Linked DNA regions of Drosophila melanogaster. The protein of the gene in region 1 purifies or fractionates together with the protein of each later gene. This does not show direct contact. Each region holds a gene or a part of one and is shown in the gene's direction. Other genes may lie near its edges.

Region 1 (4,890 bases):
AGCATAGTCACAATCCAAGACTTTAATCTTTGAGATTCATTGATAGGGATTGCTAATCGCGATAACTAATAATGCGTAAGCCATGGCATCCGTCGATAACTGAAAGTCCCCAGCGGAGAACACTTAATACCTTAGGCGATAAGTTTAAGATAATGTATACCTATACCTTTTGACACATGTTTTTAAATAATGTTTAATTTGAACTTTAAACATCTGAAGAAAATCAGCTAGCCTAACAGGTGAGCTTGCAGTTGTTCACCAGATACATACGTTTAATTATTGCAAAACCATCTGCTCAAAGTGCAATAATTTAATAGAGCATACGATTGATCGATGTCTTACCCGAACTCATATTCTGAACCGGACGAAGTTTACCAATCAGGCATATGTCGAGCTGATTCCCCAGTTCGACTTTGATCCTCCAGTAAAAGCTGACGTCGGAAGTGCTACAACGACAATGTGCAACTAAAGCCAACAAATGTGTGTCATCTGTGATGAAATATTGGCATTGAGAAAATATTTACGAGGGAAAACCATAGATGAATAATCTCGAAGGTGTATTTAGAAATGGTTATAGCAATTTTGGGTAAAATAATATAGCCATTCTCCAGTATTTAGATTTATGAGCATTTTTAAATATTTTGGCTGGACGATAGACAAGGTTGTAGAAATTCTACCTATGTTGGAAGAGTTTGGTTTTATAGCTATCTGGATAGGCTAGTTACAGTGCGAGTTTTTGCGTATACGTAATTTGCGTATACGTAATTTGCTGCGTATACTTAATTTTTAAGTATCCATCATTGAATAGAATACACTGCACGCGGGTCTTAATTTACATTGTCGGAAGTAGATTTTACGTATTCATAAATGTTCCTGCGCTCATATCTTCATGGCTTGCCTTGTTTATATAACCATGTTAAGTAATTAATCAACAAGCTATTTGGCTCTCAATACGTGGTCATTATCTTTATGTCAAACCGTTTTTTTCCCCACATACTGCCATAATTTAGATAACTCAACCTGCGAAAAATGTTTAATTTATCAGCCACAAGAGGTAGCGATGATATAACGAAAGTGGTGTTTGGCTAAAAAAGAAAACTGCAAGCATGGCCAAATGAAACAAAAAGAATTGACCAAGAACAAATGCTATGAACTTCACCCGGTGGCCATGAATTTGGCTAAAGAAAGTTGAGTATTTCAGCTACGAGTGCTGCCATCAGCAAAATGTGAAGCACTCAAAGAGGTAAAAATAATTGCAATTATTCAAGCGTGGTTAACGCTCGCCCCCAGGGGTTCCACCTTGGCTAATTGATAGATTGGCACGATCTGATATTAGCTGATAAAAACATGTTTACTATTTCAAAGTCAACAAGTGGGAGCTTAAAAAAGTGTTGAGGTTCGGTTCCTTGCTTGAACCAGTTGGGCTGTAAGCTATCAGCCAGTGTTAAAAAGTATCGAAAGGGATTAATGGAAATCCATATGAAGGTTTCTACATTTTAATTACTTTTTATATTATTTGGCTTAAAATATAAAACGAAAATAAGTAAAATATTTTTAATTTGATTGTAACATCATTTGTTTTATATTATAGATAGCATAAGTAATAGACTCTTTGTCTTATTAAATACATACATTTTGTACGTCCTGCAGAATGTTTTGTTTTACGTTCTACAAAAGGCAGTTACATCTTTGAAAAGCTTTCCGCTTTAAAATCTTGTGGTGCTCTTGAAAAAGCTCTAGCAGTGCTGGAAAATGCTCTCCAAGAGACAGCTTTCATTCCGCTCTCTCATTTTGTTTAGCATTCGCCGTAGCCGTTTTATTGTCAAGCTTGAGTTGGCCAGTTAATTAATAACAAGAGCTCGAGAGCGGTTTTCAATCTCAGAGTTGTTTTGACCGCGTTGCCATTTGGACGTCGCCGCATTTAACGCATTTGTTCCGCCAATATTCGCACCTTATATTGCGCGTCCTGTCCGCATAGGAAAATCGAAAATCAACCCCCCAGCAACTCCACCTCCTCCGCCTCTTCCGCTGCCTTTTTTGGCCAATTGCAAAAGTTTGCCAACAGTGAAACGTGAAATCTTTGAATTTACCTTTGCAAAAAAAAAAAAAAACGAAAACGAAAAAATTGAATATCTCCGTGCCGTTCGAGGCGTGTAATTTTGTGTGTATTTTTGCGGTAAGTTGCGTTAACAACATTATGCTCCATAGAAAGCACATTTTGGCCATTGTGCTCGTAGATTTTACTTCACTCTTGCCTTTGGGCAATGCGCATGCGCAGCGCCGTTGACACACTTTCTGCCCCCACCGCACCTGGTTTACCCGGCCAGCGTGCCACAAGCAACTTATGGCTCTCTGGCTTTTGGCCATAAAAACAATTACCACTTGGCTGCATTTCGTCAGCGCGTGCGTCTCGATACCAAACAGCCCCGCCCTCCCGATGGTCATCTATATATCCCAGACCATATTACCATTCATAATCTCCGCAAGCTCACCACTTTGGCACTTCGATCTTCGGTAGCTGATAATATTTGTGTGGCTAAGTAAAGTGGGAATTGCCTAAGGCAGATGGGCGGGTGGTTGGCATATTACACCATTTGAGTGTGTGAAAATGTGTGGTTCCAAATTATTTAAGAGCTGTTTCGCTGTGGCAAGTGAAGTCGTTTTGAATGGCGCACAATAATGGAAAAAAAGTGTTACTTTGTAGTGCTTTTGCTGAGCATTTTGTTGCAGCGTCGTTACAGTGTGGTAATTTGAAACTATTTTAATTGTGCATAGTTGAACTTAATGAAGCGTTTGAGATAACTTGTAACGGTATGCACAGTGCTATATTTGAAATTATAAGCTATAATTGTTTGTTAGTTTTCTTGCTTGTTCATTTAAAATAGAGAACGCTGAGAAATATTTTTATGCAGGAATATTGTACTTAAGCTGAGATAAAATTTAAAAATAATTTATTTAATTTAGTTTCTTCAAAGTATTCTGTTCTTCGCATTAAGATAATTTGAAGGCTAACTACACACTTTTCAAAGCCGTCCTTTATAGCGTGGTTATACTGTCACCTTCATAATGCATGCAAATGTAACACAATTGAAATGCAAATTGATGGTACTGATGTCCCTTTCGCACCCAGCATTAGTGACAATTTTCTGTCTCGCTCCAACTGGCTTCAATTTCTGTTTATTCAAGGGATCGATGGTCGTAGTTTATAAATATTTCAGACCCCAATCAGCCGATTCAGTGGGCAATGAAAACATTTGCTCTATTGACACTAAAACATTGACAGAGTTTATAATGATTTGCCCGTATTAACATCGCGATTTGGGCATTTTATTTAGATCTCATATTTGACTATTGCAAACTCCGCTTAATTCTCTATATACACATATAACAAGCGACCTTGTGGGTTCTCAGCCGCCGAAAAAATAAGTGAACTCAAAACCAGTTAAACATCTTACGGCCGATCGTGTTGTGTGTGGGCATGAAATTTACCCAAATTGTTAACATTTTGTCAAATGAAGGATACCATACCATAGACTTGCGAAAATATACAATAAGCCGTTATTGAATCTGAAAATTTACATATCTCTGAATACTACTCTATCGACTTCGTACTTGGAACCGAAGGCGATTTTTTATAGCCACGTTCGTACGATCGAGTCTGTTAATTTTGGCATTGTGAAAGAAATCGAAACCGGCTATTCCTGCTCCTCGAGAATCATTCGAGTCGAGTATTTATTTATCTTTTGAGCAGTCGGTTCAGTGAATGAGCCAAGTAATGCAGGTGCTGAATCGTAGTGTCATTTGCCTACTGTTGTTGGCCCAGATCATGTTGTTGCAAGAGTTTATAGTAGAACTGTATGAACAAACTGTTTCTTTAGTAACGACCTAACATGTTCAGTTGTTCTATAAAAATCTATAAAAATACCATTATTATATTGCAGTAGTAATTTAAGCATGCACGTGCTTTTAATTTGCCTTAAGTAACATTCTTACATCTTAAGTTGTTCTATAAAAAAAACCATTAAATAGTTAAAGTCGCCATCGTTAGGGTTGTTGAAAGTTCAAAAGTCATTTGATACCCTAAACAGGTTATTCTGGATATTTCCTAGCTTGCGGATAATTGAGACCGATTTGCATTTAATGCCTTGATCGCTTTCATTGATTGGCTTATAACCGTCTAATTACTATGGAATCACACATGTTTATATCATTACATTAAAAAACGAAGTCCTCCACTTAGCCAAATAGATTGATATGCAAGGCACGAGAAATGCATTAGACTTTTGATCAGAGCTGACATTGTACTATATATACCGTATTCACCAACTGGATTGACCCATTTAAAAATCAGGGGCGCGACTAAGCCGATAGCAAAGTGGGCTGTAATTTATTAGCTGGATCATTTAGTTTATAGCCGAGGTGTTTTAGTTTTAATAAACTCTCTATTAAAGCTAAGATTTTGATTGATTAATGGTGCAGTTAAGCCAGTGTACATATACTTTTCAATCGATTAAGTATAGTTGTTTGTAGACACAATTTAATTAAAGAGTCGAATTAAAAGATTGTTTTTGCGATATAAAACTAACATTATTTTTTATATGCTTTTGGCATGTTCATGTCTTATCGCTTTCACGTTTTGTAAAAAACGATAAACAATTGTAGTTGAATCTGTCATGAAAACAAAATCTACAGCGGAATTGTTAGATAAACTTCCCAAGGGTATTTATAACTTCGAATTTTCTATATCTATTTGGCTTTGCATTTTGCTTCGTCATTTGTGGCGCTGCAAAATGGTAAAATGCATAAGGAAAAACAGCAATTTGCATCAAATAGCCGGCTAGTTGATGGTATTGATCATTTTTCATATGACTTGTTTATTTATGCATATCA
Region 2 (4,761 bases), on another chromosome or scaffold:
TGTTATGCGGTGATCCGGGTACTTCCAAGTCCCAGATGCTGCAGTACGTCTTCAACCTCGTGCCAAGATCACAGTACACCTCCGGTCGCGGTTCTTCGGCCGTCGGTTTGACTGCCTATGTGACCAAAGATCCGGAGACTCGCCAGCTGGTTCTGCAAACGTAAATCTAAAAGCTTGAATCAGATTCGAATTTAGGTTGTAATCTTATGGCTTGTTTTCAGAGGTGCACTGGTTTTGGCCGATAATGGAGTTTGCTGCATTGACGAGTTTGACAAGATGAACGACTCGACACGCAGTGTGCTGCACGAGGTGATGGAGCAGCAGACACTGAGTATTGCCAAGGCGGGAATCATCTGTCAGCTAAACGCGAGGACCTCGATTCTTGCTGCCGCCAATCCCGCCGAGTCTCAGTGGAATAAGCGCAAGAACATCATTGATAACGTCCAGCTTCCGCACACCCTGTTGTCCCGCTTCGACCTAATCTTTCTGGTCCTGGATCCCCAGGATGAGATCTTTGACAAGCGACTGGCCAGCCATTTGGTATCTTTGTACTATGTGACGCGTCATGAGGAGGAGGATACCATGTTTGTAAGTAGCTTGGATCAATTGTTGGTATTTCTCCGGAATATCTCTGTAACATATTCAATCAATTTTCAGGACATGAGCGTCCTGCGCGACTACATCGCCTATGCCCGCGAACATCTGTCGCCTACGTTGTCGGATGAAGCGCAACAACGACTCATTCAGGCCTACGTGGACATGCGAAAGGTGGGCGCCGGTCGTGGCCAGATCTCTGCTTACCCGCGCCAGCTGGAGAGTCTCATCCGACTGTCGGAGGCGCACGCCAAGGTGCGTCTCAGCAACCAGGTGGAATTGCTGGACGTGGAGGAGGCTTGGCGGCTTCATCGCGAGGCTCTCAAGCAGTCGGCCACGGATCCCCTGTCCGGCAAAATTGACGTGGGCATTCTCACCACCGGCTTATCAACAGCCGCTCGCAAAAAGCGCGCCGATCTGGTGGCAGCCATCAAGGAAAACCTCAAGAAGAAGGGCAAAGTTCTCACAGTTCCCTATCAGAAACTGTTTAGCGATATTAAGGAAGGATCCCAAATTGTAAGTGCTAATATAATATATTTATAATATAAAATCAATGTAAACGATAATTTATTGCAGATGATCACACGCGAGCAATTTGAAGATGCCCTGAAGGAGGTGCAAGATGAGGGCGCAATTGTTGTCATGGGAAAGAACACCATTCGTATTTGTTAATTTTATTACATTTATCTCATTCAAAACCAACCGCAAATTCATTCATTCCTATTTTTAAGCGCAACTACAAAAATGTTTTCAATAAAAAAATTTCAAATTATTCGTTTCTGTTTTATCAACTAATATGTAAAGAAAAATTGCACATAATTAAATTATTTGGAAAGTTTATATATTGCGGTAGAAAAATAATTGATTGATATTTGAATATAATTTTTTTATTTTTCGAGCAGCTTATAATGTAAAATATATGGACATGTCAACGTGGAAAATGTTGTCAAGCTTGCTAAAATATTGATAAAGTGATTTATACATAAGAAGAGCACATATCACTTAAATTTGAAAAGGCAGAAAAACTGAATCTTAAAATTCGTGTAATTAAGCATTACTTTGGAAAGCCAAACAAAAACAAATTTCGAATATATAGGAGTACCCCAACTAAAAAAGGAATATCCCAGTTAGTGCCGTTTTTTAGCGCATTTGCGCAGGCGAAGTGCAGATATTTTGGCGCTCTGGCTGCTGCCACACTGTGTGTACGGAAAATGATGGAGTTCGGGAAATCGTCGGATCACTCCCAGCACAGCGCTTCCGAGGCGTCGGCGGACTCCGGCAGCCTGGCAAACAGCGATCTGGCCGTCACGCCCACCAAGCGGGAGCGCCGCAAGTCGCCGGCCACCAGTTCGGACAACAACAGCACCAGCGTCCAACCGCCAATGTCGCCGTCGTCCTCGGTGGCGGACACCACCTTTGAGCCCACCATCGACATGATGGTCAACGACTTTGACGACGAGGCCACGCTGAACGAGGAGGAGGCTCTGGCGGACATGGAGGCGCACAGTGCCGAGGACGAGATCGCCACGCTGCGCGAGGAGAGCGAGATGCCCATCGAGGAGCTGCTGGCCAAATATGGCGGGACAGCGGCTTCGCCGGCAATGAGCAGCTCGAACCGTTCCGGCAGCAGTTCACGACGTGCACGTAGGGCCACAAAGCGCCAGTACCAGGAACTGGACACGGAGATGGCTCACACGTCGACCTCCACTTCGAGCAGCACATCGCAACTGGAGAAACACGACGGCATAGACCAGGAGGAGGAACCCAAGGAGGAGGCCGATAAGCTAGCATCACCCCCAGAATCAGGAGAAGCTTCGTCCGTGGACACGGAGGATGCGCAAAAGTATGAGGGGATCAAGAAGCAGCATCGCTCACATTTGCTGGACCTGTATCCAGATGAATCCTTCGTCGATCTGGCGCCCACATGCGGAGAGGAGACGGAAAGATGTAGGTTTAAAAATAAAACGTGACAGAATCTAATTATCACTTCCATTATGTAACACTTTTATAGTCACTCCACTGCAAACACTGTTCGATGAAGTGGAGGCCGAGGAGGAGGAGGAAAGCGAATCCGAGTTGGACGATGCTCGGAAGATAATAATGGTGGGTCACGACTATCAGGCTGAGATCCCAGAGGGGCTGTCGCAATATGGCGATATATTGCCATATGAGAACGAGGATCAGTTGATCTGGGAGCCCAGCCAAGTCAGCGAGCGCGAGGTGGAGGAATATCTGGCCAAGATACAGGAAACCCGATCGATAGTTCCGCCGGATGACGGGTCAGAGACTACGGCGGGCGAGGAAGGCGCAGCTACAGGTGCTACTATCGAACCGCCGGCTCCCATTACAGCTCCAGCCACGCCTCCGAGGGCTCCGCTTGCGACAAGTGGCGCTGGCGATCAGGAGCTGGTGGTAAAGGATAATGAGCAGGCGCTCCATCTGCTTGTCCAGTGCGGTTACGACTTCAAAGAAGCCCTACGACGCAAGCGCATGAACGTCCTGCCTCTCACTGATACCATGAGCAGCTGGTCCGAGGACGAGTGCCTAAAGTTCGAGGAGGGCATTCAGCGGTTTGGCAAGGACTTCTATCAGATACGTCAAAACCAGGTAAAGGAGCGTCCATTGCCTGCGGACCGCCCTAGCAAGTAATCTATGGGCTCGTTGGGCTCTTTCAGGTGCGCACTAGAACCATGCGCGAGCTGGTCCATTTCTACTATCTGTGGAAGAAGAGTGAGCGCCGGGATCAGAGCTTTGCTTTAAACGACACCATCGATCACATGGATGTTTTCATCAACGAGGCGGGCGGTGGCAACGGAAGTGGTAATGGAAATGGTGCCGGGATCGTATCGGGCACCGCTAACAGTAATGGTAGCTGCTCACCGCATAGCAGCAATGGTCACAGCAATGGGGATTTGTCTGCCCTGGAGAAGGATACCATCGCCAGTCCTCGAAAACCCGCCTCTAAGAGCTATTCTATTATGACCGGGAGTCAGGCGGTAGGTAATCCTTCCGGGGGGAACCGAAAGCGATGCTCATCCGCATCTCTGCCCCTGGAGGACGAGGACAACAACGTCGAGGAAGAACCCAGCCTGTCCACAGTGTAAACGACATCTCTATCACAATCACCATCATCATTATCATAACCGAGCGCAGGCGCTTTCGATTCGGTTGGGCCAGGCGATGTATTTGCAGGGCGCTTCATTACCATTACCACTCACTATAAATATGCATACTGTACGTGTAGTATATACCATATGTCTAAACATATATATTCCAGATTCTTAAATCGACATCTCTCATAACCCGTAAAGAATTTCTCTATTGTTAAGTGTGCGATTCGTCTATTTGTTACATGTGCGTGTGGATTCCGGAACCAAGTACTTATCGCTTATATATACAATATATTTTCGCTCAATCCTTGAGTTTCGTTGAATGTCAATAAATGTAATATGTATATCTGTAAAGTCAATTCTATTGTTTTGTCGATATTTGACCAAATGTTTTAAAACCTCCAATAATTTAATGAATTTCAATTCTCAATTTACGAAAGTAATGTATGATCAGAAAAGATAAATATATATGTACATCGAAAGCTTTGTAGACTCACAGGTAAGATTCGCTACAAATCAGATACTAATATTACATAAAAGTACATCTTAGATATCTTAGATGAGCATGATTTATTTTATTTGGTTCAAAACAAAGTATGCATCATATTATTAATTTATTCGGCCTAGTATTTTCCCCTTTAAAAGCCTTTGTTTACATATAGAAGAAACAATATTTAAACGAAAATTAACCAAATTTTATCAAATATGCATTAGTTTAATCGCTACTTAAAAGACAAGCTGACGGATTTCAAATAACCATCTTAACGAAAGATCAATCGTACTCCGTATTCCCTAAAAGTTAACCGGATCGGAAACAAAGAACCGGTCCGTATAAATATACATACATATCTCGTATACATAGATACTTAGGTATGTCTGTATCTTTTCCCCAGTTTTCTTTGCAAGGCGTTCTTGAAAATGGCCAATTACGGTGTTGGATTCCCATTTATTGGCCGCATGTCTGTCCACGTACATTGTGCATACGAATGTGTGTGTGTGTTTTTCGCACTGTGGGTAGAAAGACGAGTATAAATTGCGGCGAGGATCAAATGTCAGG

The links. The genes of interacting proteins can lie anywhere in the genome.
Region 2: the proteins of CG5973 (region 1) and CG1620 purify together in Drosophila melanogaster (affinity purification with mass spectrometry, with the first as the bait; one large-scale study listed by BioGRID). This does not show direct contact.

What each region holds. Positions count from the first base shown.
Region 1 is NT_033779.5:7,435,613-7,440,502, forward strand, and holds the start of CG5973 (uncharacterized protein), read left to right. Parts: upstream 1-1,879; 5' UTR 1,880-2,176; intron 2,177-4,890.
Region 2 is NT_033778.4:7,493,306-7,498,066, reverse strand, and holds CG1620 (uncharacterized protein), read left to right. Parts: upstream 1-1,600; 5' UTR 1,601-1,805; coding exon 1,806-2,541; intron 2,542-2,605; coding exon 2,606-3,201; coding exon of another isoform or gene 3,202-3,243; exon of another isoform or gene 3,244-3,269; coding exon 3,270-3,698; 3' UTR 3,699-4,261; downstream 4,262-4,761. Other genes in the region: dpa (disc proliferation abnormal), read left to right, coding at 1-160, 222-588, 658-1,110, 1,171-1,266.